Linked DNA regions of Alligator mississippiensis. The protein of the gene in region 1 interacts with the protein of each later gene in a pairwise test. Links are inferred from orthologs where the notes say so. Each region holds a gene or a part of one and is shown in the gene's direction. Other genes may lie near its edges.

Region 1 (7,290 bases):
TGGCAAGACAGCCTGAGGGGTAGGGCCCTGCTCCCTCACCACTGCATGGAGGCAATGTGGTTGCTGTGGGCATGGCCAGGGGACCAACATGACTGCCCTTGGCGTGAGCAGGCACTGCCCTACCCCCAACTGGGAGGGTGCGGTAGCCGGAGAAGGCTGCAGCCTGGGCATCTCATTCATTATTCATGCACCAGCATCTTCTTTGCATGATTAATGACTCCAGAAGCTCGTTAGCCTCTTAACCCGGCTGGCCCACAACAATATGGGCACTGTGTCTACATGGTGCCCCTCACTCCTAGCCGACAGCCCTGCTGTTGCCCTTCACTCCTGAATGGCAGCCTATGGGTGCCCCTCACTCCCAACCTGCAGCCCACTGCACCACCCTGGTACCCCGCACTCCTGACCTGCAGCCCAGGTTTGTTGGCGGGGGGGCAGGGCAGTCCCAAGCTAGTTCTGGGCTTCCATTAGCTATTTCACCTCCTTTATTATTGATCCTGGTTGCTGGCCTTTTGCCTGGCAGGGACTTGCTGTTCCAGGCTTGCCTGGATGCCTGGGTCCCTTCTGCCTTAACCCTTCATGCTCTGGGGAAGCTCCCTGCTGCCCTCTGCTCCCTCCCCATTCCTCCACAGGGCTGGCTGATCAGGGCCTAGGGTGGAGAGGTGATCCCCAAGTAGACTTGCAGGCTGCTGGGATGGAGGGATGTTGAAAGAAAGGCAGGAGGAGAAAGAGAATAAAGGAGGGAGGGAGGAGCTGGCACAGATGGGTCAGAAGAGGCAGAAGAGAAAGGGAAGGAGAAAGCCTGTTGGTGGAAAGGGAGATCGAGATTCAGGGCCAGGCGGAGCAATACATCACACAGAGGGAGAGACAGGAGACGGGAGCCCTGGCAGAGGAGAAGACAGAGGGCGGAGGGACAGAGACAGAACCAGGCAGCGCTCAGACGGACAGAGACCAGGAGGAAGACGGTGTGACAAAAAGACAGGCCCAGACAGAGGAACAGAGCCAAGCCCGTTGGAAGGAAAGGTGAAAGACCATCTGATGGAGAGATATGAGGCAGAGCCTTGCTGAAGGGACAGCACTGGGCTCTGGGAAAGCAGGGAATGTGGAAGACCATGTAATGGAGCAATAGGGAGAGTAACGGGTGGCTCAGGGGAAGGAAATGTGGACACCTGCCTGACGGAGAGAGACAAGACAGACCCAGCCAGAGAGGTAGACCCAGGCACGCCGGAAGGTGGAAGATTGCATGACGGAGAAACAGCTTTTGTGAAGCTGGAAAGAAAGAACAAGACAGGCCCCAGGTACAGAGAGAACTTGAAGAAGGGAGTGCGGGAGGCAGCGTGGTGGAGAGAGAGACCACAGGACAGAGCTCTGATGGAGGGCTAAAGCTGGGCTGGCTGGAAAGAGCGAGCGTGGGAGGACACGGAGCCCAGGTGGAGTGAAGGGCTGGGAAGGAGGGAACATGCCAGGCTGGTGATGGAAGGATAGGACACGGAGCCTGCTGAAGCAAGACCTTCGGAAGAAGAGAGTGTGTCTGGCCAGGGACGGAGGAACAGAAGGAGGCGGGGCCTGGGGCAAGAAGGTTTGGAAGGAGGGAATGTGGCAGGCTGTGACAGATGAATAGGAGCGCACAGAGCCTGATGGAGTGAGAGGTTTGGGAGGGAACGTGGCAGGCCAGAGACGGATGAACGGGAGCACACAGAGCCTGGTGGAGTGACAGGTTCGGAAGAATTGAACGGGGAAGACGGTGACGGAGGGATAGAGGGGCACAGCCTGGCAAAGCAAGACTTGGAAGGAGGGAAGGTGGCAGACCTGTGACAGAGGAGTAGAAGGACACAACACCCAGCAGAGTGAGCGCAGGAAGGAGGGAGGGTGCCCAGCAAGCGACAGAGGGGGCCATGGCGGGCACCCCCCCGCCACCGCCACGGGGTGACATCCCGCGCAACCTGAGCTACATCGCGGGGCTGTACGAGCGCGCCTACTACCGCACCGCCCGGCCCAGCCTGGCTGACGACTCGGAGGACTCGGAGCCCGAGGGACGCTCGCGCCGCTCCACCCGGCCCCGTGCCCCCCGGCTCCGTACCCGCCGGACCCGCACCCGCCAGAGCCGTCGGGCTCACTCTGCCCCACCCGGGCCAGGGGCGGGGGCTGGGGGGGGCTCGGGGCGGGCACGCAGCCCCGGGGCGCGCAAGCGGGTACGATTTGCCGACGCACTGGGGCTGGAGCTGGCCAGTGTGCGGCAGTTCTGGCCAGCCCAGCTGCCCGAGGTGCCCGAGCGCGTCCAGGCCCAGCTACGGCGGGACTCCCTCAGCCACTTCCCACCCTGCCTGCCCTACATCAAGGTGAGGGGTGGGGCAACAGGCTGGGGTGGAGCTATGGGATTGCTAGGGGGTGGGGCTACAGACTGGAGAGGTGGGGGGAATGGCAGGGGGCTGGGGGTGAGGCTACAGGCTGTGGGGGCCAGGAGCAGGGGGGCTATGGGATGCCAGGTGTGGGGCTACAGGCTGGGGATGGAGCTGTGAGTGTGTTAGGACAGGGCTATGGGGGGCCTGTGGCTACAGGCTGGGGGGTGGGCTATGGGATGCTGCTGGAGCGGACCTACAGGCTGGGGGAAGGGCTATAAGGGTGCTGGGGATGGGGCTATGAGGCAACTGTGGGGTGGGCCTACAGGCTGGGGGCAGGGCCATTGGGGGTGAAGTGTGTGGCTACAGGCGATGGGGGCAGTGTGCCCACCCATTCGCTGCTGACCACTGTCTCTCTCCCCGGCAGGCAAGCAGTGGGGCAGCGCCGTGGGCATGGGCAGCAGCAGAGGCAGAGGTGGGGGCACGGCTGGCAGCGCAGGCGGTGGCACTGGAAGGGGCACGGGCAGAGGGGGTGGGCGTGGCGGGGACACTACGCGTGCTGGACCTGGCCTATGAAAAGCGGGTGAGCGTGCGCTACACATGGGATGGCTGGGCCAGCAAGCGCGAGGCCCCAGCCGCCTACGCCGGCCCTGCGCCACCCCCCCCTGGTGCCTGCCCACCCGCCGCACCTGGTGCTGACCGCTTTGCCTTCCGCCTGCCCCTGCCACCGCCTGGTGCCACCCTGGAGTTTGCCCTGCGCTACCGTACTGCTGGCGCCGAGTTCTGGGACAACAATGAAGGCCACAACTATGCCCTGCGCCCTACCGTGCCACTTGCTGGCTCCCCCCGTGAGCTGCCCCCTAGTCCCCTGCCCCTTCCTGACTGGAGCCGCTTTGCCTAACACCGCCCCGGTCCCTCCGGGACCTCCACCCAGCTCATGGCCCTCACCCAGACCACTGGTCTTGGCCCCGCGACTCTTAACCTGCACCCTCCACACCCCGCCTCTCCTGCAGGCTCACGGCCCCAGATGGGACCCTGGCCCCAGCCTCCAGCCACAGCCCTGCACATCCCAGCCAGGGCATCCCAGCACACCCCAGGTGGGTCCCCCTCCCCATGATCCCACGAGGCCCGTGACCCCTCCACTACACCCCACTCCGCCAGCCAGGAACACTGGCCTTGGTCCTAGGATCTCAGGTCCCAGCCAGGCCCCCCATCCCCAGCCAGGCCCCCCAGCTGCACCACAAGAAAGTGCCCTGAAATACACTCTGCCCAGAGGCACCCCCTCCTCCCCCCCGCAGCTATGGCCTGATGGGGGGCAGGACTCCCCATCTGCCCCTGAGGGCGGGGCTAGCTACACCTGGGGGGCATAGCCACCAGGGGCTCCTCCCACCAGACCAGAGGCACCCCTGCATGGAGGATGCTGGGCATGGGTGCACCACTGCCATGGAGGCCGCACTGCCTGACAATAAAGACAATGAAGTCTAGACTGGCCAAGCTGGTGTGTCCCTAGTGTTCATCTGTCTACCCACAGCGCGGGGCTGCCCGGGGTGTCTCTGGGACCCCTGTGGGGGGGAGGAGAGAACCCAGGCATCGAGCTCCCAGCCACAGCCGGAGGGGCAAGGGTGCAGAGCTACCACGGGTGACACGTGATGGACCCCAGCCCCATCTCCAGTCATAACTATTGCGCTGCCTCTGTTTTCCCACATGACCCCAGAGGTCTGGGTGCGGGGGGGGGGGGGGTTAGGAGGCGAATCGAGCAAGGGGCAAAGAGAAATGGAGGCCTGGAGGCTGTTCCCCCCTAGCCCTGCTGGTGCCCCTCACTCCCGACCTGCAGCTCCCCCCACCAGGAAGCCAGGGCACAGCTGCAGAAACAAAAGGGGGAGGGATGAAGGGAACCCTGGCGCCCGGGTTCCTAGCTCCTCCCCCCGCCCTTTCACCTCCTAGACCCCGCTCCCCCCACGGGAACCTAGGCGTCCGGGCCGCCTCCCCTCCCCCTCGCGGGGACATCCGGGGTGGCTCGAGCTCTGGCCCAGCCAATGGCCGCCGCCCTCTCCCCCCCTTTGTGTGTCGGAGCTGGGAGAGGACCCAGGCGTCCCAGCCCCCTCCCCGGCTGGAAGAGACCCCGGGCGTCCCGGGCCCCCCCGCGCCCCTAGAGGCTGCAGGGAGGAACCCACGCATCCGAGCCGCTCCAGCTGGAACCCAGGCGTCCGGGGTCCCTTAAAGGGCCAGCGCCGGGCTGGCCCCGCCCCCGCGCGTCCATTTCCCAGGCTGCATCGGGCGGAAAGTCCCAAACTTGGGGGGAAACTGGGGTCGGAGGAGGGGGCCGGTGAGTGGGGGAGGGGCAGGGGCGGGGTCGCGTTTGGGGGTCCCTGGGGGTGGGGGGCGTGCACCTGATTTGGATCGGGGGAGGAGGGGCTGATGGGGGGGGCGGCGGCTGGGAGCCCGGACGCCTGGGTTCTCTCCTGGTCCTGGCACGGCGGGGGGGACACCTGGGTCCCCTCTCTGTTTGGGTTGGGGAGGGAGGAGTGGGGCGGGCTGGAAGCCCAGGTTGTGTCCCAGTTTGTGGGGGTGTGGTTGCTGAGAGTCTGCACACAACGGTGCTCTCCTAGTTTGGGGGGGAAGGCAGGGTTTGCTGGTAGCCCTGATGCCTGGGTTCCCTTTCTGTTTGAAGAGAGAAGAGGAGGGGGCTGCTGGGAGCCCGGATGCCTGGGTTCTCTCCCTGTTTTGGCGGGGGGGGGGGGGGGGGTGAAGGTGGTGCTGGGAGCCCAGATGCCTGGGTTCCCTCCCTGCTGGGGGGTTGATAGTGGGATGTTGGGGACCCAATGGGCTAGACCAACCCAGGTCACCTGCAACTCTGGGCCCTTGGGGGTGGCAGCAGGGCAGGCACCTTCCCCACAGGAGGGGCAGTGCCCACATCCAGCGTGTGGTTCCCCATGGCTCCCTTGGGTGGGTCTGGCACCAAGAGGAGCCACCACCGGGTTCGCTGGCAAGACAGAGAATTGGCCTAGAGCAGAATCGAATCCCATGGCTCTGTTTGCTTAGAAGGGATCCACCAGATCTTTGGCCCTCATGGTGGCGGAGCTAAGCCATCCAGCTCTTTGGGTTGGCACCCTTCAACCCTTGAATGCTCCTGCCACTGACCAATCTGGAGCATGGCACAGCCGAGTTCCCCATCACAATTGGTCTTGGGGTCAGTTCTTGGAGGCCAGATTCCTCTGTGTCTTCTCCTCATGAAGGCCTCTGTGTTTGAGCGGCTTCTCAGTGTTCCCAGTTAAGCTAATGAGTATTGGGGACGGGAAGAAGACGGGAACATGGTTCTTCGGTGTATTGTAGGCCTCCCACTCCTCCTTTCTAGGAGAGCTAGAGGACTTGTATCAGCCTAGAGCAGGGGGTCAAACTCATTGGGGCCAGCTGACCTGTCTGCACGGACAGTTGGGGTGGCCAGGCCTTCTGAAGGCCATGTCCCATTACTGCATGCCCATTATTTCCTGTCCCATTCCTTGCTCAAGAGAGAGCCATCTTCGCAGGAATCATTCCCAAGATGGTGGCCGGCTCCCAAGATGGCCTCTTGAGTGCTGGGGAGCAGCCACAAGATGGCAACTGAGCAGTGACGGAGAGCGTCGCGGGACAGAGGCATCACCGAGCCCAACCATGGGGGTAGACAGAGGGGTTGGATGGTGGTGATGGACCAGCTTCACTTGCCTGGTGAGCACGAGGATACCTGTATCGATGCCCATAGGATGCTGCCAATGGTGGTTAGACGTTGCTCAATAGCTTTGTTTTGGAGGGGGCGGGGAGGTGAAGGCCAAGGGGTGGTTGGTCTGGCTGAGACTTCTAAAGGCAATATATGCCTATTACCTCCTGTTCTGTTCCTTGCTCAAGTGGGAGCCATCTTAATGGGGATTGCTGCCAAGATAGGAGTTGGATCCCAATGTGGCTTCTTGAGTGCCAGAGGCAGCCACAAGATGGCAGTGGTGACAGCAGCAACATTCATCAGATGGAAGCTGTGCTATAGGGAACAAGCAGTGAGGAGAGATGTTGCCCAACGGTAGGGATTGGCAGAGGGTCAGATGGTGGTAGTTGGTCAGCCTCACCTATGACCATGAGGAGAACCAAGTTGGCAAACCTAGGGTGTTGCCAACAGCAATTGAATGATGTTTGATAGCTTCATTGGGGGATGAAGGCCAGGTGGTAGTGATGGTTGCTGGGGTTTTCTCCCAGGGAGGCAGTGGAACAACGTCCAAGGGTCCCTCACCTGGTGATATCTTCTAGCAGTTAGTGCCCACATCTAGCTGTCGTCCATCAGGCCTTGGTTAGATCTTGAAGGAACCTTGGCACTTCCCCACATTGGGTCAAGATCGAGTCAATCCCTTGATCTTGGTTGATGGGCCAAAGAGATCCAGCGGAAGAGATCAAGCCTTGACGATGGCTGGATCTTGAAGGAACCTTGATTGCTTTCCCCTTGTTGAGTCGGGATCAAGTCTGTCCCTCACTGATGGGCTGAAGAGACCAAGCTATGCCCACCAACTCATCACCACTGGTGCCCAGGTTTCCCACAGGCCAGTTCCCGCAGCATGAACAGCTCGTCTGATGTCCCAAACATGAGCAAGGAGGTGCCCAAACCTCCTGGCCCCCAGGTTCCTCTGGCATTACCCCTTTAATTAAACAGGCCATTCTTGGACAATCAACCAGCTTGGTAATGGGTCTTTAGGAGCTGCTTTTGGCAAATAATTCAATTACCAGCTCAATTTTTGTGTTAGGGGGTCAGATCATATGAGCCATCACTTCTCATTCATTTCTTTAGTTGTCTCTGATTAGAGATAAACAAATCCAGGGCTTTTTGTTTTATTTCTCCAGGTAATTAGCATCCGGAGTAATGGCTGTCTCTAATTAGGCTCTGGTCAACTTATTGGCCTCTCTTTAAAAAAATGTTTAATTAGTGGGTATTTATTGC
Region 2 (7,551 bases), on another chromosome or scaffold:
AGCCCTGTGACTGGCACCTTTGTTGCCCCCTGGCTCTGATGCCCAATGGGCCCCTTATTGCTTACCTGCTTATTGCTTACCTGTGCTGTTCTGCTGGCTGTTCCATGGATTGCAGGTTCCTGATGTTCTCCTTCTTCTTCCTCCCTGTCCCCCATCTGAGCTCGTTTAAAGCCCGATGTAAGGGATCAGCCAACCTGTTAGAGAAAAGACTTTAACCTTTCACTGAGAGGTGAAGTCCATCACACCCCAGGAAGTCCCTTGCCAGGAAGTGTGGGTCGTGGTCCAGGAAACCAAATCCTGCGCTATGGCACCAACTTCTGAGCCGCAGGTTGACCTCTCTGATGCAGGCGCTGTGATGCCTACTGCAACCTCTGACCGGGAGGATGGACAAGATGACCACCTGTGCCCCGTCTCTCTAAGTGGTGAGGCACAGAGACATAGGGCTGTGCCAAGCTCACAGCTGTAGCCTGTCCTCACCCATGCAAAGATAAGGGGGCTATGTGCTGTCCCCCTCCTTAGCTGCCCAGTGCTGTGCCTCTGGAGGAGCTACTGGCTCTTCCTGGGGATGACACAGGGTGCAGCAGGGCAGGCGCAGGGGTCCCAGGGGCTCCATCCACTCCAGTCTGGCAGTACAGCCAAGGCTGACCCCGCTCTCAGCCCCAGCTCTGGGCACCCCTGGCCAGTGTGGGGAGGCAGCCAGGGCCAGGGTGGGGTAGAAGCCATGGTGGGGAGAAAGTCGGTGTGGGGAGGCAGCTGGGGCCTGGGCCAGTGCAGCTGGGAGGCAGTTGGGACAGGTGCCAGGGCCAGGAGGCAGCTGAGGCAACCAGGTCCAGGGCCAGTGTGGCTAGGAGGCTTCCAGGGTCAGGACTGGTGTGGCTAGGGCTAAAAGGCAGCTAGGGCTGAGGCCGGTGCAGCCAGAGCTGGGAGGCAGCCAGGGCTGGGGCTGGGAGGTGGCCGGGACTGGGGTGCAGCACCAGGCAATGCCGCTCCCCCACATGGCCCTTTTCCTTCCCCCACTCAGACTTTCTCATGGGGGGTGCGTGTGTACGTCCGGCTGTTCACTGCCACTGGCTTCACGTCCAGCCACTCACCACCCCTCCCCCCACCCCCACTGTCAACGCCGCTGCTGGCTTCTTCAGGGTAGGGGGCCCCAAAACTATTTCTTACAGGGAGACCCAAAAAATGGTTGGCTGGCGCTGTCAGCTATTTGCTCCTAAGGAGTTCACTTTCTATACAGGTATTGCTTTTATTTTCTGCCTTTTCATATGGTTCAAACCTGAACCATACAAACTACTCAACTCATATGCTGTTATTGGTCAGTGGCATCTGACCAAATGCATCACCCCCAGAACAAGTGTAGAGCTTTTTCACATTTGAAATCTAATGTTAAAATGAAAGGGGAAAGTATCTCTGTGAATTTGGATAATATACAACTATTGCATTCTGTTGAGGGGATTGATGGAAACAATTTCAAAAACAAATATTTATGGGGGTAGACCCAGTGGGGTGCAGTGGTTCAGTTGCACCCTCCTCTACTCCCTCAATTTCTTCTCCACCCAAACTTTAAAACCAACTGGTTGGGAAGGGCAGTGACATTTCTATTCAACCAGTGCTGAGAGAGTCAATTGACTTCGTGGCTCATTGTCATCTCCCTGATTCCTGCTTATCTTTTTCCACTCCACAGGTGTTAATAACTATTTATCCATTTCATGAGTGACTGGTGCCTCCTGAATCTGGAGGCGGCCCTGTCATGGGGGGGCACCAGCCCTGCCTACAGCATTAGTGTCGGCCATCAGGGAAGGCACCAGCCCCATAAGGGGGGGCATGTGCACCCCCATGTACCCCCTTACCAGTTGCCTATGATGCTTTTTAAAGGTCTTGATGTTTCATTATTCAAACAATCCTTTCTTCTGCAGTTTTATGGTCTGTTAGAAGAGAGACATTACCAGAAATGACTATTTAATAGCCCTGCAAATTTGTTTTTAGCACTAGATAAAAACCTTTACTCAGGTGTGGTATTATTAACACAGGTGTAGAAATAACTGACAGTAAAGTATTGGAGATACTGTCAAGACACTCAAGGCTAGATTTTGTTTTTATGAATCTGAATCAAAGATATGCATTTAACTATAGTGACTACAGAACTAATGACACAATATCTTTTGACTATTTTAACTATTTTTGCCTAGTTTTTCTTTAAATTTTATATAGAAGCTAGCAAATTAGTGCACATTCCAATAATTATATGTGTTCTTGCTTTGATTTTAAGCTAAATATTATAGTGCTATGTCCCTAGCATATTAGTAAAACTTCAAGTAATTGTGCTTTTACTTCATAAATCATAGAAAATTAGGGTTGAAAGGGACCTCAGGAGGTCATCTAGTCCAACCCCTGTTCATAGCAGGACCATCCCCAACTAGATCATCCCAGCCAGGGCTTTGTCTACCCGGGTCTTAAAAACCTTCAAGGATGGAGATTCTATAACCTCTCTGGGTAGCTTGTTCCAATGCTTTACTACCCTCCTAATGAGAACATTTCCCCTAATATCTAACTGAAGCTTCCCATGCTGCAGCTTGAGATATTGCTCCTTGCTCTATCATCTATCACCACAGAACAGTCTAACTCAGTGGTTTTCAACCTGTGGTCCCTGGCCCCTTGTGGGTCCAGAGACTATGTCTAGGCAGTCCGCAAAAGATTACTATGATCAATCAAAAGTATGTGAATACCCACATTTACAATTCAAAGGAGTCTATACCTCCATTTGAAATATTTTAGGGTTCCGCAGATGAAAAAAGGTTGAAAACCACTGCTCTAGCTCCATTCTCTTTGTATCCACCCTTCAGATAGTTGAAGACTGCTATTAAGTCCCCCCTCAGTCTTCTATTCTCCAGACTAATAATCCCAGTTCCCTCAGCTTCTCCTTAAATGTCACATGCCCAAGTCCTCTAAACATTTTCACTGCCCTCCTCTGGATTCTTTCCAAATTCTCTACATCCTTTCTCTAGTGGGGAACCAAAACTGAACACAGTACTCCAAATGTGGTCTCACCAGTGCTGAATAGAGGAGAATAATCACTGCCCTTGATCTGCTGGCAACACTCCTGCTAATGCAGCCCAGTATACTGTGAGCCTCCTTTGCAACAAGGACACTGTTGGCTTATATTCAGCTTATTGTCCACTGTATCCCCCAGGTCATTTTCTGCAGATATATTTTCTGCTTAACCAGTCAGTCCCTAGCCTGCATGGGATTGTTCTGTCCTAAGCGCAGGACTTTGCACTTCTCCTTGTTGTATCTCATGAGATTTCTTTCAGCTCAGTCCTCCAATTTGTCTACGTCACTCTGAATCCTAGCCCTACCCTCCATTGTATCAACTGCTCCCCCCAGCTTGGTGTCATCTGCAAACTTGCTGAGGATGCACTCTATGCCATATTCCAGATCGCTGATGGAGTCATGAAGACATGAAAAAAATATCTTTTAAAAAAATATTTAGTTCCTACACTACACCTTTCTTCTGCAGATACTGAAATGTTTTAAAGGCATTAAAATATGTACCTGTAAAAAGATACCCATCCTATTTTATACATAGATAAACTGAGGCATGCAAATTAAGTGTCCTGCAGAATAGCTGTGTGGGGGGGGGGAGGAGGCGGGGACAAGAGGGTATGGAGCGAGGGGAGGGCTTGTTTTGGTTTTTTGTACCTTTGTTATGTAAAAAAGGCTTGAAAGGTCTATGAGGTATTTTTACACTTTATTTCCTGCTTTTTTTTTCTATTAGAACAATCTCTGTCTGAGAGCTCTATAATGACTGGAGAATTAGTGAAGTGGTCACATTGCAAGGCTGAGGAAGTGAAAGTTGAGGAACAGAAATGATTTCTACTCAAACTCATTAAAAAGTCTTTGTTTTTACTAACACCTGTGTAATTACAATGACTGGCTAACATTATGCACAAGAGAAGTCTTTGTTTAAAGTCAGCTCACTTGTCCTGGCAGTTAAGGTTTAGGCTTTCACAATGAATGTGCTCACAATCCTCCCAGAGGTGTTTCAGTAAAAAGCAGGAAAAAACAAACCTACCCAACCTGATGTTCCTGACACCTGGGTATTGCAAATTAAGAACTTATCATGTCTTATGTTTTGCCCTGTAAAGAAATTTTAAAAATGGCACAAAAGATCTCAGCGAGCTTTGCCAGTGTCAGACCAGTTCGGGACAAAATAATTTGCCACTGATTCAATTTCTAGGCTTTTTAATTCAGCTCTGATTCAGAGTTAGTGGCAAGAAGGTCACACAATAAGGGAAAATGTAACTCAAAATGCAGCTGAATGCATGTTCAAAGGAAAAGGAAAAGCTGCAAACAATTGTTTAAGCAGTCTGTGCATGCAGGTATGTGCAGCCACCCTGCCTCTAGGATAAATGACAGGTAGGGCGCGGTTTGCTGAACCTTAAATTACTTAGGTTTATGCAGTGAGGCTTTTCTTTACTACCATTAGTGATGTCACCCATTTCCTTGTGTGCCACAACCAATAAAAGTTTTCTTCCTATAGAGATCAAATTGAGTCTTAATGCTCTGTTGTTGGGCAGCATGTTCAACTGCTAAAGTCCATTGATTTCTACCTACAGAAAGCTGGTCACAGCCCACAAGCCCATATATGACTCAAAGGCACAGGACGACAGAGAGGTAAGTATAAACCATCTTCTGTTTTGACTTTTTATTATTCAATTGTCTCTCACTTGTTTGAAGAAGCAAATGTGAAAGGAAATACTCATGTGAACAAGCGTTATACTTTTTTAGAAACAAAACTTTTAAGTGTGGGCCTTTGTAACTATGAAGTAAAACCATAGCAAAACAGCAGTGAATTTTCACTGCAGCATACATTTATGGTTCAGTCCCTCTGTAACCTGATGCATTCTCAAAGAAAGAAGGCCTTGCAACTTAATTGCAGTGTTACTGCATTCTATCCTAACTGGTTTTAAAATACTAGTCTAGCTGCCAAGGATAGTAGCAAACTTAGTTCACTAAATTCTGTTAGCTAGTCTCGTTTTGTTTCTTCTTTTTCCTGAGAAAACTTAAGTCTTTGGTGAAGAATATTAAAAGTGAATTGATGTGTATGGAGAAAAAGTTATTGAACAAAAACTGCTTCAACAAATTGTTTGCATGTTTGCAAATTTCTGTAAACCCACCCCCACTCCTGCCCCTCCCCCCACCATTTTACATCTCATGCAATTTCATTAAGCCATTGGTGTAAATTAGGGCTATATTCTTCCTTGCCCTATCCCCCAGTCTCAGGGTTTTAAATGCCTTTTTAAAAAACGAGTTCAGTTTGGATTGGTGTCTTTTGGCACAAACTGTCTTCTATGTGGTTAGTCTTACAGTCAAATTTTAACTGAAAGCAGCTGAAGTTTTCCTCCACAAGCTGCAATACTGTAGGCAAAGACAGTTGTCTCAATTCTGTTAACATTTATTCAGATACATACCTTTGCATGATAATGAATTCATTTCAGTGCGTCTGCTCACGTCCATAAAGCTGAGCATGTGTATAGGAGTTCACAGGTCCTGAAATTATATTGGAATATAAATATTAAGGCCCAATTCAGCAATACAGTTAAACAAACTTAAACTTAAATCATCCATATGCAGCAAAGTACTTACGTACCTGGAGCCAAAGAGACATAGGCAGGTGTCTAAGGTTAAGCAAATACTTAAAGGTTTTGTTGATTGACCTCTAAGATTTCTTAAACATCCATAAGAATCGATTAAAAATAAATAAAGTATCCAGAACACAGATGTAATTCATGCTTTTCCTTTACAGTAATGTCTAGCAGAATTATTCAGCCATAAATAAAAATAGCAAATCTGGTCTTACAAGTTCTCAGTAGGAGCTATATCATCCAATCAGTTTTTACATGTAACTACACTGTGGGATACTTTGTAAAAATGGAGCCTTTCCCTAGGGATCCTTCTGTTTGCTTAGTAAGGTTCTTGCAGTTACTACTGGTAGCAAGACAACTCTGGCTACGGACAGAAATTACACATAAACTGGTATAAGTGATAGTAAACCAGGTCAAATCTGTAACACAACAGAAGTTCAGTTCACATAAATCACTTTAAAATGGTTGAAACCAGTTTAAGGTAAACCTGGATGGATGTAGTATCAGACTTAAATGATTTAGGTTAAGTCGGTTTACTGAACTTCTGTCCCAGATCCCCTCCAGATTCAAGTTAACTCACAGTCCCCCAATATCCCAGGATTCTTTGCACTTCCCCTGCAACCCGCCTCCCTCTTGCAGGGTTGGTGGCTAACATTGGTCCAAGCTGTCTGCTCTAGCCAAGTAAGAAGGTATGCTTTAGCACCCCTTGGCTTCTGGCTTGGGCCACTGCAGGCATGTTGCTGCATTTCCAGAATCAAAAGTGAATGTCTGTTCACTTGCTTTTCATTTCAATCTACGTAGCTTAGACTACCTTTGAAGATTGAATTGATTTAGCCTGAGGCTTTTTTACTGTCTGTACTTAGCATGATAGTTTATAAGAACAACACTTTACGTTATCTGTACTGGAAAAAAACCCCAAAAGCAATAATCTGTAAATGAAATGTTAGGATTCATCCTTGGGTTATGTAAGGTATTTGGAAAGATGCTTTCCTGTGAGGGGTTCTATGCTAAAATACTCTAATCCACTTCTTTCCTGAGACTGGAGTTGGAAAATTCTTTTTAAGGAAGTAATCTGTTAGTAATTTACTATTTTATACTCATCCACCCAAAAAACTCTGAGCCTATATTTATTTTCCAAAAATATAAATTGAAACAAGCTGGGAAAGCTAGTCCATTAGTTAGCCTTTGCTTGCCACCTGAAAATACTCCTGCTGCTCCTGCCAGTTCCTTTTATTCACTTGGAATCCTCCTCGATTTCACTAAATGAACACTGTTTCATAGAGGGTTGTGAGTTTTGTTTGGGCGTTAACTACTGCAGGCCTTTATTGCAGTATTGAGCTGGAAAAATAAATGTTTCTGGCTCAATTTAGTTCTTGTTTATCAGAAAAGTGAATTGAAATAGTCTGTGTGAAAAGTCTGAAGTATCCAGTCGCTCCTGCAAGACAAAATTTTTGTGCAAAATGCAAAAACAGTACATATATGGGATGACATGATATACTCACTTAAGTTGTAGAATATTCAATTATTGCATTGCACATAATACATAATAAATCAAGCAGTCATTTTATGCAGTAAGGCAAATAATAAAAGGCTTATCTTGCTGAGAGTGCAATCCAAAGAGATACTGTCAGACGTGGACAATTTGAAAACATGGCCTACCTTTTAATATAGCCCCAGTCTTTCAGACTGATTTGCTTAGGTAGACCCCATATGGCTTATCAATTACATGGACCAAAGGCCTATCAATTTCAGTGAACTCCCTGTAGGCAAACCTCTTTGTGGGGTACAAATAAGCCCATTTTTGGTGAAAATGCCCACACACTGAAAGCATGACAACATTCAAATTTTGCACTAGCTTGAAATGCAAAAATAATTGTTTCACCAAAATATTCGCACAAAGAAAATG
Region 3 (7,522 bases), on another chromosome or scaffold:
TCTCCCCACCCACCTTTGACCCCCCAGCCTGGCTGGGACCTCCCGGGCTCCCACGCAACTACACCCCACCTGAGCTCCCCGCCCGGCTGGGTCCCCCCTGGAGCCCCCCGCCACATCTGGCTGGGACCCCCTGATCTCCCCCGGGCTCCCCCTTGAGCTCCCAGCCGTGTCTGCCCACCCCCCGGGTGAATGGGGGGCTACGGGGTGGCAGAAAGGGGCCCAGAGCGCCCCCCCATGGGACCCACGCAGGGACACGGACACGACCCCGTCCCACAGAGCTGCTGCAGAAAGAGCAAGGACCCCCCCCGGGGGGGTGCGGCGGGGGTAAATGGACTCTGGCAGGCTGGACGGACCCCCCCCCCCGCATGAATGGCCTCTTCCAGGATGGTCAAAGCCCCCCCAGGGGTGAACACCCCCCGGGGCAAAATGGACTCTCCCTGCAGTGAATGGACTCTCCCGTGGGAGCGAAAGCTTCCCCCCCGGGCAGAATGGACTCTCCTAGGGGTGAATGCCCCCGCGATGGGGCAGAATGGACTCTCCCAGGGGGTAAGAGCCCCCTCGCTGGGGTGAATGGAGTGTCCCAAGCGAGTGATTGCCCCCCACCCCCACCCCCGGGCAGAATGGAGTCTCCTAGGGGAGGTGAGCCCCCCCACGAAGTGAATCGACCCCCCCTCCCCCCCGTTGGACAGAATGGACTCGTCCCAGGGGGTCTCCCACAGTAGAAGTGAGCACCCCGCTCCGGATTGGAATGGACTCTCCCGGGGAGGGGATGAAGCCCCCCCCCATGTGAATGGACCCCCCCCGGGGCAGCATGGACTCGTCCAGGCGCTGGGGGGCGTCTGTGTAATAAAGGGACCTTCACGCACGAGCCCCAGTGTTTCTTGGGGGGGCTGCCCCCTGCCCCCTCCTGACCTTGGGTTCCACCCCGGCCCCTGGGAGGGGGGTGGGGGCCGGTGAGGTAGGGCTGGGAGGCCCGCCCGCCCGGGCTCTGGGACAGGGTGGGGGGCCCGGCCGCCCGGGTTCCCTCCCGCTCCGTGGGGCCGGGGTGAGAGCCAGTGCTGGGCTGGGTTGTTTGTCTCCAGCTCTGTAATTAGGAGGTAATTAAAGATCCCGGGGCCTGGAAACCCCCTGCGGTGACCACCCCCCCCCAACCGCGGACCCCCCTGGAGCTGCTGGTGCCCCTCACTCCCGATCTGCATCCCCTGTCCAGCCCCCCTCCCCTTGCCCCCCACTCCCGACCTGCAGCCCCTGCCCCGCCTCGCCCTGCCTGTGCCCCTCACTCCTAATCCGCAGTGCCCTTGCCCCCCCATGCCCCCCACTCCCGACCCGCAGGGGTTAAGGTGCCCCCGAGGGGAGGGGGGCGTCTCTGGCTCAGTCCCGCATTAGCTCAAACTGGAAACAGACGCGGGCTGATGCAAACAGCTGGGGCGGGGGGAGCCCGCCTGGACGCCTGGGTTCACTCTAGTTCTGGGAACGGGGCGGCTGTGGGGGAGAGCAGGGGCCGGGGGGCCCGGAGGCCGGGGGGCCATGGGGCCTGGGGGGTAGTGGGCGGAGGGGTCGGGGGAGCCCGGACTCCTGGGTCCTCTCCAGGGCTGGGAGGGGGTGGGGGCTCACACCCATGTGCAGGGAGCCCCAGGCAGGCAGCCTGGCAGGCCTGGTGGAAACACGTGATCACACACAGGCGCGCGCACACACACACACACACACTCGCACGCCTTGTTTGTTCCTGGGGCTGGGTCACGGGAGTGCAAGGAACGCACCAGGCAACAGCTGCGTGTGTGTGTCCTGGACCTTGGGTTCTGTGTGCGTGTGCACGGGTGCGTTTGTGTGCGTGCGTGTGTGAATGCACGTTTCACAGATGCCTGGGTTCCGTGTGTGTGCCCTGAATGCCTCTGTTCAATGTGCACGTGTGTGTGTCTGTGTGCATGCTGCATGTCTGGTTCCGCCTGGGTTCCAGTTCTGCGTGCAGGGCATGTGTAAGTGTATACACAGGGCCTGCATGTGTCTTTGAGCACTGAGCGTGAGTGTGCGCTGTCCAATCTGGGCCATATGCAATGTGTGTGTGCACGCGCGCCCCTTAGACCCTGGCTGTGGGCATGCGTCTGATGATGTGTGTGTGTGTGTGTTTGTATGCCCCTGTGTGTGCACATGGCTGTGTGCATATGAAGCGCCGGTGCCCCTCGCTCCTGACCCGCAGCCCCGGCTCTGTAAGCTGAGCTCGCTCTCGGACTGCGGGGGAGGGGGCAGGAAGTGGGGCGGGGGGCCGCCGGGTCTGCAGCGGCAGCCAAAACAAACAGGGACCCCCAGCAGAGGGGGGCAGGGGCTGCGGGTCGGGAGTGAGGGGCACCCAGGGGGTCTGAGGAGCTCAGGGGGCTGCATGTCACGAGAGAAGGGCACTCCCAGCCCCCCCACAGAGCTGGAGGCTCTCAACCCCGCATGGAGGTGCCCCTGGCCCTCAGGGGTTGGACTGGGGGCGAGTGTGGCCTGGACAGGAGCGGGTCGGGTGTGTGTGTGTGTGTGTGTGTGTGTGTGTGTGTGTGTGTGTGTGTGGGCATGTGGGGGGGGGTGGCTCTTGCGGGTCCCCGGTCGCGGGGGGGGGGGGGGCGAGATCCGGCCTCCCCAGCTGGTCTGGGGTCTCTGCCCAGGACCACGCTCCCTCTGCCCAGCTGCCCCCAGGCCTCGGGGCCCAAGCACGGGGGGCAGGCTGCAAAGATCCGGGGCACGGGGCTCGGAACCCAGGCGTCCGGGACACGCAGACTCCCACCCGTGCGCAGCACAGACACGAAGGGGGCAAGAGCCGGACGCCTGCGTTCCCCCGCAGTGAGCTCGGCGGGCGGGCGGGCGCGCGCTCCAAGCCGGGACGCCTGGGTTCCCTCTTGCTGCGGGAGGAGCCCGGGCCAAGGGTCAGGGCAGGGGCGGGCCCGGACGCCTGGGTTCCCTCCCGGCCGGGCGGGCGGTGCCGCGGGCCCCCGGGAAGGTGAGTCATGGATGAGCTCAGTCCAGTCCGGCCCGGCCGCAGCTGGGGGCGTCACCCCCCCCCCCGAGAACCCAGGAGTCCGGGCCCCCAAACCCCCTTGCTCCCATCCCCCCCCGGCCCGCAGGGACCGGATCCAGGCTTCCGGGCTCCCACGCTCCCCTGCGCGGCCTTCCACGGGCTCCAGGGAACAGGGCTGGGGAGTCACTGCGCACAGCCCCCCGCCCCGTGGCCCTGTCCTCATGCGACCCCCACAGCCACGCCCCTGCTCGCGCACAGGCCTGAGAGCCCAGGCGTCCGGGACAGCCCTGCCGGTGCCCCGCATTCCCGACCCTGCCTCCCCCAGCCCTGCCGGTGCCCCACACTCCCGACCCTGCCCCCCCCGACCCATCCCCGCCGGTGCCCCGCACTCCCGACCCTGCCTGCCCCAGCCCCGCCGGTGACCCGCACTCCCGCCCCTGCCCGCCCCCCATCCCCGCCGGTGCCCCGGACTCCCGACCCTGCCTGCCCCAGCCCCGCCGGTGACCCGCACTCCCGCCCCTGCCCGCCCCCCATCCCCGCCGGTGCCCCGGACTCCCGACCCTGCCTGCCCCAGCCCCGCCGGTGCCCCGCACTGCCGACCCTGCCCCCACCAGCCCTGCCGGTGCCCCGCACTGCCGACCCTGCCCCCCACCGGCCATCCCCGCCGGTGCCCCGCACTCGCCCCCTAGCTGTCCCGTGTCCGCACTGAGTCCGGTCTCTCTGTGCTGCTGCTTGGGGGGGGTGCTGCTCTGTCCCGGCTGCTCCACCTGGCCTCGCACACGCCGGGCACACGCGTGCACTTGCACACACGTCCCCAGCCCAGAGAAGAGGCAGGCCTAGAGCAAACGTGTTTTACACACGGAGCCTCTTGCACCTGTGTATGCACGTGTGTGGCGGTATGTGGACATGTGGCACGTGTGTGTGCCTGCCTGCAGCACACACATGCAGCACGTGCCTCAGCCCCACACACACACACACACACACACACACACACACACACACACACGGAGCAGGTGGGTGCACATGGATCAACACATGTAGCTCACAGAGCACAGCACATGCGTGTGCACAGAGCAGGTGCTGGGGCACCCACGGTCTTCCTATGGCTCTTGTACACACCCCCTCACACACACACATAGTGGCGCACATGTGTGAGCATCTGATTATATGAATACCGAGTTTCACGTGTTTCTTGTCATATGCATATATATTCATACCTGTGAGCAGAGGCCTGCACGTGTGTGTGCGTGTTCAAATGCGTATGTGCAAGTGTGTGCCTGGCAGGCGAGCGTGCTTAGCAGCATGCACGTATAGACGCCTGTGCCCGTGGGTGTTGGCATAGCATGTGTTCATGTATGTGTCTGTGTTCATACATGAGCCTGACAGGCCTGGGTGCGTGTGTACATGTGGCCCTTTGCGCGTGCACACGTGTGTCCCTGGGAATACATGTGTGTGCACCACCACCCCCTTACACTCGGAACATTACAGTAACGGGGCGGCGCTGGGGCTGGACCCCGGGAATCCCGGGATGAGGGGCAGAGACTACACCTCCCAGCATGCACCGGAGCCGGGGAGGCCAATCCATCCCACAATGCCCCGGGCTGCAGCGGGTCGCGGGGGGGGTCCACCCATCAGTCCATCCACCCACCCATCCCAAAATGCACCGGGGATAGAGTAGGAAAGACCTCCCAGCATGCCCCGCGCGGTCAGTGGAGGGGGCAAGTATCCCAGCATGCATCAGGGCCTCGCGGGGGGTGGATAACGTATCCCGGCAGGCCCCGGGTGGGGCGGGGAGGACTGCAGCTCCCAGCATGCACCGCGGCTTGGAGGGCGCCCTTCTGGAGTTGATGACGTTCTGACTCCGGGAAAGAACCACCTCTCCCAGCAGGACCCGGGGGCGGCAACGTCGTGCACCGTACGAAGAACTACAGTTCCCGGCCTGTCTCGCGCCTGGTGACGTCACTCCGCGGCGTCTCGGCGGCTGCGGACGTCGTTGACTACAGCTCCCGGCGTGCCCCGCGGCCCCCGGCATCCCCGCGCGCTGCACGTGTGTCCTTGCCCCCTGGTCAGTCCGGGCGCGGGCCGGGCTCGGTGGTGCGCCTCGCTCCCGCCCGCCCGCCCGCCGCCGCCGCCGCGCCATGTTGCGCTCGGCCGTGGTGAAGCGGTCCGTGAAGCGGGTGGTTCCCAGCAACCGCATGAGAATGATCCTGGGCGCGGGGCAGGCGCAGCCCGGCCCCCCGCTGGGCCCCGTCCTGGGCCAGGTGAGCCGGGCCCTGTCCCGGGGCAGGGAGGGAGGGACGCCTGCGGCCCGTGGGGGAGGGCTGGAGCCAGCACCGTGCGTGCCCTCCAGCTGAGGGGGGGTCCCTTGGATGCAGCCAGCTCTGGGGAAGAGCTGGGCCCAGGCGGGGGGGCGGTTCTGGGGGGTCCAGCCGCCCCTGACCCCCCCCCCCCCCCCCAGCACGGGATCCCCATTGGCGCCTTCTGCAAGGACTTCAACGACCGAACCAAGGACATCAAGACCGGCGTCCCCCTGCCTGTGCGCATCCACATCAAGGTGCTGCCGCAGTCGGGACCCTGGTGGCCCTCAGCCCCCGCCCCCCAGCACCGCTGTGTGCCCCAGTCCCCGCCACACACCCCTGCGGCCCCGCTCAGACCCACCCACATCTCTGGCGGTGCCCCCCCCCACCAGCCCTGCTCTGCCCCTGGGCCCTACATCTACTCTGGAGCCCCCAGGTCCGTCCTAGGTGCCTTCAGTGCTTTTCTATGCAGACCCCCGCCACAGCCCCCAGACACCTCTCTCAGCCCTGGCAGCTCCTCTCAGGCACCAGGTCTTCTCTAAGACACCCCCCCCCGCTTTCCCCCAGGCATTGCGGTTATGGGGCACCCTGTTGCCTTGACACCCCCCCCCCCAGTCACCCACAAAAACCCTGGGGCAAGGTGGGCTTGGGGCAGGGGCCAGACACTTGGGTTCCCTGGGGGCGAGGAGCAGATGCTGTGAGGGCTGGGCTGGATGTGGAGGGGTCCCACAGGGCTTGGGGAGGGCTGGGGCAGGACATGGGGGGTGTCTGCTCAGGGTGGGGGCTGTTGCAGAGGCATCTGGGGGAAGGGGGCATTTGGGAGATGGGAGTGGGGGGTGGTGTTCAGGAGCTGACGGTGTCTAGTGATCCCTGCAGCCGGACCGCACCTATGACCTGAACATCCACCCCCCCACGACCTCCTACTTCCTGCTTGCGGCCGCTGGCATCGAGAAGGGCGCGTCACAGCCCGGTGAGGGGGGCGTATAATGGGGGTGGGGGGAGGCTGGCCATTCCCCATCCCGCCCCCCAAGGGCATGCAGAGGTGGAGGCTGCTCCTCACCCATGGATGTGAGGGGGTCTCAGGCTGACACCCCCTCCGTGAGGGGGAGGGGAGGTCCCAGGCTGATGATGTCCCCTCACCTCCCCAGGGCACGAGGAGGCAGGGGTGGTGTCGCTGTCGCAGCTCTATGAGATTGCGCAGGTGAAGATTGAGGACCCCGGGTTCAAGCTGCGTGGGAAGGGCCTGGAGGACGTGGTGCGCTCGCTGCTGGGCTCAGCCCGCTCCCTCGGCCTGCGCGTCGTGCCCCGGTGAGCCCCTGGACGCCTGGGTTCTGGGGGACCAGAGGGGCAGTGCTGGGAGCCCAGTTGCGTGGGTACTTTGGGGTGGGCCAGCAGCCTCAGTACCTTGTTTCTGGGTGGGGCGGGGGGGGCAACTGCTGGACACTTCGGTCCCTGACATGCTGCCTTCCCGCCAGGCTCACCGTGGAGGAGTGCACCACCTTCCGCCAGCGCCGGGCAGACGAGCTGGCAGCCCAGGCTGCGGCCCTGAAGGAGGCTGAGGCTGCCAAGTGACTGCTCGGACCCCTGGGTTCTCCACCAGGTTGCGGGGCCTGGGAACTGGGGGACCTGGGGTCTCCCCTGGCTCCGGAGGTGCCAGTGCAAGCCCTGTCCCCCTTGGCCTGGCTGGTCAATGGTGAAGCTGATAAAATAAACGCTTGAGACCTTCCCCGGCTCCTGTGAGTGAATCTGCCGGAGAAGCCAGAGGTGGAGGGGGCGGGGCTGGTGAGCTAGGGGGCAGGGCAAGTAGCTGCTGTGGAGGAAGTGGCTTGGGGAGAGGGGGACATGGAGGGGTTGGAGAAAATGCGGGGGACAAATGTTTGGGGGGCAGAGGGCTGAGCAAGGGGCTGGCATGGAGGGAGTGGCCAAGAGGAGAGGCAGGGCCAAGGGTCATGGGGACCAGGGCTGGTGCCTGCTCCTAGGGCTGGGCAGGCGGTTGGGGCTCTCCCGGAGTGGGGCCCGGTGCCTGGGTGATTCAGAGCTGCAAGGGGGAGAGGAGGGAGCTGTGCTGGCCACCCATAGTGGTGGGACAGGCCCTCTTGGGTGCGTTCACCCATGTGTGTCCATGTGGAGTTGGGTGTGAACATATGAGGAGGCACATGCAGGCATAGTGGGTGGCGTGAGCATGTGTGTGCAAGTTGGCAGGGTGGTGTGTGCACACGTGCAAGCATAT
Region 4 (7,562 bases), on another chromosome or scaffold:
CAGATACATTCAGATCTACATATTTAAATAACATTTTAAAATAACATTAGCCAAAGCTATAAGTGATCAATTTTAATCTGTGAATCTTCAACACTTTATACATCAAGAGACTCCTTTAAAACAGATCTAGCTCCATTCACTCCTATTCTTTTGAGCATTAAAAATAAAAATACACTGTTCTTGTATGCTTTAAATATTTTTTTTTTACTTGTATACTGAAAATTAATCCAATACACTGTTGAAAACATATTACAGGCAGTCCTCGACTTACAACGTTTTGCACTTACAACATTTATAAATTCACACCCTGTTTCAACTTTATGATGTCATTTTCAACTTACAACGCTTGATCCGATGCGACACCTAGCCAGTGAACAAGTTCGCTGTGTCGCCCATCTCCCTGGAGAACATCTGTCCAAATTTCCTTGGACACTTTCTTTAAGAAAGCGGACAAGACTCCAGAAAAACCTGCAGCTAAGACTCCTGAGAAGACTCCAGCCAAAAACCCTTCAAAAAGTCCAACCAAGAGCCCTTCAAAAAGTCCGGTGAAGTCACCTCAAAGAAGTCCTTCCAAATCAATATGATTCCTATTTACAATATAAATACATTAATGTAGCTATATTACTCATCTATAATTGATCGAGTACAAAATTCTGGGGTATTGTTGGTGAAAATAGGGTATCGGGCCTTGGTTCAAGAACCAATCCCCCATTTATAACACTGTTTCTTATGAGAAAATTGGTTCTGAGTTACAACATTTTGACTTAAGATGCGGTTTTCAGGAACCAATTGTGTCATAAGTATGAGGACTGAGGACTGCCCGTGTAACCATGTTGCATTTAGTTAAAATGATGATTCCTTTCAGAACAAAGCATGAAATAGATATTGCAATGCTCCAAAACTTGACAAAACAACAAAATTCACACAGATATTAGGGGTGCACCAATAAAGATTTATTGGCCAATGCCAATAGCCGATGATTAACCAACCATATTGACCAATGCCAATCGAATAACCAATATGTAGTAATAGTGCAAGGCACTTTAAAGTACTGACATAAATAAACCCTTTTTTGTTTGTTTTGCACTTATAACACACACACACACACACGCACACCTCCTGACTGCTCCAGCCTTCACCTTATTCCCTTGCACATCATCCCCTTGGCCACAGCTCCTACCTGCAGCCCCACTCCCTGCACACCCTACGCTGCCATCCTGGGTGGGTGGGTTGGACCTTTGAGCAAACAGCGGTGCTGGGTGTATTTAGAACCCCACAGCACGCTGTTGCCTCAGTACTGGCAGGCCCTCTGCAGCTGAGCTCCCATGGCCAGCAGGGAGAAGCTACTTTTGCAAAGGCACCTGGTGTTCAGTGGAGCAGAACATCCCTCACGAGGCACCTTACCCCTCCCACACAGCCAAACGTCTCTGCGGCAGGCCTGGCACTCAGGCCCCTGCTGTGCGTACAGCATTTGCATGGCAGTGGCAGCAGGAGCTGGTAACAGTCCCTTCATTGCTGAGCAGAGTGCCCTGTGACCACTCCCTGGTGCTAGCTCCTTCCACCGCTCACCAGTGTAGCAGAAAGCCCCCTTTTCCTCTTGCCTGCATTTGCTTTCCCCTCTCTGGATATATTTCTCTTTTTCTACCTTTTCTTCCTTCCTCTCTCTTTCACTTTAAGATAAGGAATTGTGTTTTAAAATTTGTACGTGTGCATTTTGTATCTCCCCTTGTAGTTTGGTATTTTTATCTATTTGTGTGCCATGACATTTGTAGCTTATATTTATACTCCTCATCTTTCATATTTCAACTGAATGTATTTAGTTTCATAAGTAAGTTATACATTGTAACAATGTTAACAAGGGCAGGAATCAAACTGTCCTTCCCTGTATCAGGCTGGCCCCTGAAAGAGCAAGTGAATCAGTGATTCAATGTGTAACATGGTAGCAGACAGAAATTAACACCTGGGAAACTCCAGATCAACCAAGGGAAGAATTCAATAGAAGACAATGTAACAACCGGGAAATCTCTAAACATCACTGATCAAGGGCTAGAAGCCCTGGCCTGAGTTAATCAATGCCGGGGACCAACTTTTGGGCTAAATATCTCCAGATCGACCACTCCCAGAGCCCTATTCAAAATTCATCAACAGACTCCCAAACCTGCATGTACATGCGGATGACCCCTGGGGCTGACAGATGCCATCCAGTAGCCACCGGGGGGGAGGGAGAAGTCCCACGAGGGTCAATGACCCCTGGATTGGGCAAACCTGAAAACTGGGGAGTCACCAAAGTCTGCCAAGGACAGATAAAAGGCAGCAAAAAGTAACCCTCAGTGGCGCCCTCTTGATCTCCAACTTGACCAGCACCCGACCTCTCCAGCCAGAAGGACCAGCCGGCGACCCCCTTCTGGATGATAACACCACGCTGAAAGAAGCCTCTACTGGCCATCGACGGCAGACTCCAGCGCTAGTAGGATAGGTGTACCTGACTCTGTAGCTTGCTACTGTGTGTGTGTATGTGTGTGCATGTGCGTGTGTGTGGGTACCAGACCCAAGGTTTATGATTTAACTCATTACAGTATTTCAATCCGCCTAATAAACTAGAATTTTAAGGATCCCGAGTTGGACATTTGTAGCCAACACCAGGACCTGTAGTATGCTGCAGGCTTGGGCCAGCAGTGGGGCACAGGGAACTAGACTATGCTTGCCAGGATGCTCTGGGCACACGGCCATAATTATCGGCTAGAAAGACCAAAAAATTATTGGCTACGAAGTGTAAAAGCTGATAACGTCATTTCTCCTTTTATCGCTGCCGATCCGATAGCCAGCTGATACACCTATGCACCTCTAACAGATACTTTTACAGATGACAGAGTTGTGTCTTGTATTGAAGAAAACATGATCCTAAATGAGAGTACAATATACATGTTTGAAACTGCAATTACCTTTCTCCCTTCTCACGCTTTACGTTGCCTTTATAATCAGCCCATGTGCTCTTGTCTGAAAAATCCCCAGATACAAATTCTTGCAAATCAGGTCCATTTTTCAGAAATTCCTTTTTTTCATCTGGCAAAGAACTTGACGCTCTGTCCTGGCTACATACTTGGGTTCCAAGCACCTATGGGGAGTGTAACTATATTATTTATTTTACCACTAACGTGCTACAGTATACATTACATAAATGCTCGTACGCTATGACAATTAAAAGGACTTTTTTACAGAGAGGCCAGAAAACGAATATTTTTGGAGCAGGTACTTTCTTATGTACTAATTTAAGGTCAAATTCAATGGATGACTGTGCACAACTCTCAAAGGGAGTGCTGAGTACACATCGAGTGGTAAAACTTGGCTCTTGTTTTCAAGTCCAAGAATATGCAAGGCTAGCCAGGCTATATGTACCTCCTATGAGCAGACTGAGGGTATAAATCTTTCTGGGCTCAGTCCTTTTAAAGGGGACATAGACCTGGCTCCACCCATCAGTTTCAAGATGTGAAAATCAAAACAAGGATCAGACCCTGGGGGGGGGGGGGGGGGGGGGGGGGATTATAAAAACAAGATGCCTCAGCCAAAGGAAACATCCTACAAAGCCCACAAATCTAGTCTATAAATAAGGGCAGGCAATTATTTCAGTAAGCGGCCCTCCGCCTGAGATTTGACAAGCCATTGAGGTCTGCATAACAGGCAGCCAAGGGCAGATAAATATTAATTTTCTAAAAATTTTAGGGACTTCGCGGGCTGGATAGAATGGCCTGGCGGGCCGCGGGATGCATTTTGCCCACCCCTGCTACAGAAATATGAACAACCGCATGGTGTTTTCAAGTCAGAAATGCTACAGACAGAGCGCAGATGCAAAGACCGGCCCTGTCCACCTTCCAAGACGAAAACTGCTGTTGTCAGTTAGCTCTGAAAGCTAATGACGGGTGGTGGGAAAGTCTTAACCTGCAGCCAGGTAACACCCTGCGACAGGACCCTCCGTGAACAACCCAACGTCTGTGGAGGCCTTGACGGCAGGATCCCTCCGAGCACGGGAGGAAAGACGCAGCACGGGGCTAAGAGCTGGGTGAAACTGTGGGGAAAGGGTCCCACGACGCCCCGGAGCCGCTGCTGCGGGTCTCCGCGCTGGCCTGCCGCCCCAGGCGCGGGGGAGGGGGGGCCGGGGGCAGAGGCGGGACAGAGCAGCTCACGTTTCCCCCCCGTGCTGCGCACGCCCGCTGGGCAGCCCCCGGCCCGGGGACGTAGCGGGGCAGCTACGACCTGCACCCACGCCGTGCGGGGGAAGGAGGGGGTAGGGGCACGGGGACGCCCGGCCTGGGGGAGCAGGGGCTCCGCACCTGCGGTGGCCTCAGCGCGGCGGCCCCACGGCAGCAGCGACCCCGCAGCAGCGCAGACATCGCCGCCACTCGACCAGCTCGGCGCGCCCCTGCTTCCGCCTGACCCAAGGCCGGGGTCCTTCTACTAAGCGGCGCTCAATTCCTCTTGCCTGCGAGCGGGCTGCCGTGCGCCGTGACGTCAGCCCGCTGCGGCCGGCTACAAGTACGTGATGACGCACGACGTCCCCCCTTTCCTCTGCAGCGGCCGCCAGGTAAGGGCCCCCGCCACTATCCGCTGCCATCCGCGGCGCGCAGATCCCTGCGCGGCTCGCGCGCCCCCGCCCCGGCTCGGGCAGCCCCGCCCCTACGATCGCCCCGCGCTCCCCTCCGCCGCGCGCCTGACCCGGCCAGGCTCGGAGGGCCCGAGGCAGCGCCCTTTCCTCCCCTCCTCCCCGGCGGGCCCAGGCGGGTGCGTAACGCGTGACCGCTGTGTCGTCCCCGCAGGATGAAGACCATCCTCAGCAACCAGGCCGTGGACATCCCCGAGAAAGGTACGTGCTGCCCCTTACCCCCCGCCGGCCTGGCCCGGCCCGGCCCGGCCCGGCCCCACTCACCCCCGTCTCTTGCAGTGGACGTGTCCCTGAAGGGCCGCACCGTGATCGTGAAGGGCCCGCGCGGGTCTCTGCGCCGCGACTTCAACCACATCAACGTGGAGCTGTCACTGCTGGGCAAGAAGCGCAAGAAGGTGCGTGCCCCAGGGGTGGGGTGGGGTGGTGGGGGTCGAGGCCAACCAGGTCTGTGGGGTTGCTTTGCAGGAGTGCTCAGGGCCCCTTGTGCATCTTGGGAAAGGGACCCGGTTCACTGCAGCGCGGAGCCGTCGGGGTGCTCAGTAGCCACCAGCTCCTCTGAAGCACTCCCCGAAGAGATGGATAACTCCCCGGCTCAGGCTTGTCCTTGCCCAGCTTGTCCCCCACTCCCGCAGCCTGGCAGCTTTTCAGGGACATGAGTGGCCCCGATTTAAAAAGCAAATTGACTGTATTGCAGTGCTTAAGTCATAGAAATTTTATGCGGAGGGGTGGCCTCCCAACCAAAAAGGCTGAGAACTGCCACCCTGAACAGAGCGAGGGCTCCAGCATAACAGAAGCTGAGAAAGTAATGGGGCTGAAGGCAGAACTTTGAAGATACAGATGTGTCTCGTGTATGAGGTGCCAGGCTTTGAAGTTCAGTTTTTGGGTGCATTTGGTGCTCACTTGTAAGGAGCCTAGATATAAAATAAAATGGGCCACTTCTCATAGGAAGTCTGATTTCTTGTTTAAGTTCTTCTTGGGCAAGATGGTCTGGGAGCATCGTTTATCCCAGAAGACTTGGTTGTTTAGGACAGCAGTGCTTTTTCTGAATGTGGCAATGGCAGCTGTGTGCTGTTTGTATTGCACAAGTATTTTTAAAGCACTTGAGCATTTTTGCCACTGGACAAGATCAAAACTAAGCACTACTATTGACTTCCCCAGGTTGTTGGCTATTTGAAAGTTTACAGAAAAAGAAGTAACTTGTTTGCTTGTCTTTCAGTAAAAGGTGACCGAACAGAGGTTTGCTTTTGCCTGTTCAGTGTTTAATACTTGCACGAATATTGTTCATCGGAGCATCTTAAAGTAGCTGTATCAGTATCATTTTTGCAAGCCCTTTGGTGGTAACTGTTAACATGTCATTGTTACAGAACTGGCCACAGCAATTAACTGATTTGACCAAATTTATAGTGAAAGGCAAAATATAATGGTGAGCACCAGAGTTGCATTTCAGTGCTTTGAAGTCCTTTTGTAGAAAGATGGAGCAGTTTTTTTTTCTAGGTTATTTTGAGGCTGTTCAGTTCTGTAGTTCAGCTCTTCTGAATTAAGAACAGATGTTTTCTAGAAAGAATAAGAATTTCAACTGACGACTTCTTAAACTTCTATTATAGCTACGTGTTGACAAATGGTGGGGTAACAGAAAGGAGCTGGCAACAGTTCGCACAATTTGCAGTCATGTGCAAAATATGATAAAGGGTGTCACACTGGTAAGTCTTATTTTGAGGTAAATTATTTGTTGTTTCCTTCATGCTACTAGGCAACTTTTTTCTGAAAGGAGAATTGTGTGTTCCAAAAAAAATTTTAACTTTTTTTTTTTTCCTGCATACATGTGGTAATTGAGAGAACTTTAGGTGTACACATAAACCATGTACTTTATATTCAGCAGGTAGTGTTGAACAACTAAAACTAAAATGATAACCATGTCTAAAGTAGAATTATTTGGCAATTCTTAACCGTATCGTTACGCAATTTGAGTGTTATTGTTAAAATCCTAAATTTGATTAATTCCTAGGGCTTTCGTTACAAGATGAGGTCAGTGTACGCTCACTTCCCCATCAACGTAGTTATACAGGAGAATGGCTCACTTGTGGAAATCCGTAACTTCCTGGGAGAAAAGTATATCCGCAGGGTGCGCATGAGACCAGGTGAGTGTGTTCGTGTTAGTGTTGCTGAGCAAACCTTATGTGGTGTTTTGGGCACTAATTTGGTGTTCTGGTTTTTGGAACAAAGCTGTTCCTAATGAGATTAAAAGCTGTTAACACCATAATAGAGATTTATTTAACAGACTAGTCCTGATGAAGGTAAATATTTTCAGTGAGCTACGAAGGCTCAATATTTCATCAGCAAGATGACTCCGGTTCTTTTTTCAGGGTGTAGTAATGTGCATTAAAGCATTTCTGAATTCTTGATTTTTAAATTTTTTTTTTTAATTAATTAATTAATTAACTTATTTTTAAGTCTTGTTTTGTTTGTTTGTTCTCCCAGGCATGCATGACAAGCTTCAGAAGTTTTCTTTTCCCTGTTTTTAGCTTTGTGATGAACGTTCTTCACTACACACATAAATGCGTACACATTTAGTCTGGGTAACAGTGGTGAAAATGAAGATAAATATCCTGTTTGTGGCTTTTGGCACTTTAGGGTGATTCTACTGAACAAATGGATTCATCAGTAATTATAATGCGTCTGCCTGAGCTTCTCTGAAGATAGAAAAGAGACTGTTTTTTCATACAGAGTTTAAAATTTCTAAAAAGATGTAAAATCCAATTTCATAGAATATTAGTCTGGGTTTTGGAGAACAGTAAATAACATTTGCTTTTTTTAAATGTTAGAATGTGTGGGGGACAACTTCTCAAGCTAATGTAAATGAAATCACTCATACTGGCTCATTCAGGGTTTGCTAATGTGGATTTAA

What was found.
Region 2: the proteins of HOMEZ (region 1) and LNX1 interact in binary tests that used the Homo sapiens proteins (3 or more experiments, as listed by UniProt). The link is inferred for Alligator mississippiensis from reciprocal best matches to the Homo sapiens genes HOMEZ and LNX1.
Region 3: the proteins of HOMEZ (region 1) and MRPL11 interact in binary tests that used the Homo sapiens proteins (3 or more experiments, as listed by UniProt). The two-hybrid records come from large-scale screens. The link is inferred for Alligator mississippiensis from reciprocal best matches to the Homo sapiens genes HOMEZ and MRPL11.
Region 4: the proteins of HOMEZ (region 1) and RPL9 interact in binary tests that used the Homo sapiens proteins (3 or more experiments, as listed by UniProt). The two-hybrid records come from large-scale screens. The link is inferred for Alligator mississippiensis from reciprocal best matches to the Homo sapiens genes HOMEZ and RPL9.

Annotation. Positions count from the first base shown.
Region 1 is NC_081830.1:7,415,784-7,423,073, reverse strand, and holds the start of HOMEZ (homeobox and leucine zipper protein Homez), read left to right. Parts: upstream 1-4,277; 5' UTR 4,278-4,662; intron 4,663-5,104; exon of another isoform or gene 5,105-6,041; intron 6,042-7,290. Other genes in the region: PPP1R3E (protein phosphatase 1 regulatory subunit 3E), read left to right, coding at 1,893-2,336, 2,764-3,237. UniProt on the Homo sapiens protein: May function as a transcriptional regulator.
Region 2 is NC_081825.1:59,244,545-59,252,095, reverse strand, and holds the start of LNX1 (E3 ubiquitin-protein ligase LNX), read left to right. Parts: upstream 1-4,542; 5' UTR 4,543-4,674; intron 4,675-7,551.
Region 3 is NC_081838.1:5,407,242-5,414,763, forward strand, and holds MRPL11 (large ribosomal subunit protein uL11m), read left to right. Parts: upstream 1-4,897; 5' UTR 4,898-5,133; coding exon 5,134-5,256; intron 5,257-5,453; coding exon 5,454-5,549; intron 5,550-6,168; coding exon 6,169-6,262; intron 6,263-6,440; coding exon 6,441-6,600; intron 6,601-6,767; coding exon 6,768-6,864; 3' UTR 6,865-7,017; downstream 7,018-7,522.
Region 4 is NC_081825.1:50,709,414-50,716,975, reverse strand, and holds the start of RPL9 (large ribosomal subunit protein uL6), read left to right. Parts: upstream 1-4,560; 5' UTR 4,561-4,579; intron 4,580-4,811; 5' UTR 4,812-4,812; coding exon 4,813-4,858; intron 4,859-4,936; coding exon 4,937-5,052; intron 5,053-6,261; coding exon 6,262-6,357; intron 6,358-6,662; coding exon 6,663-6,795; intron 6,796-7,562. Other genes in the region: LIAS (lipoyl synthase, mitochondrial), read right to left, coding at 2,943-3,115, 4,329-4,388.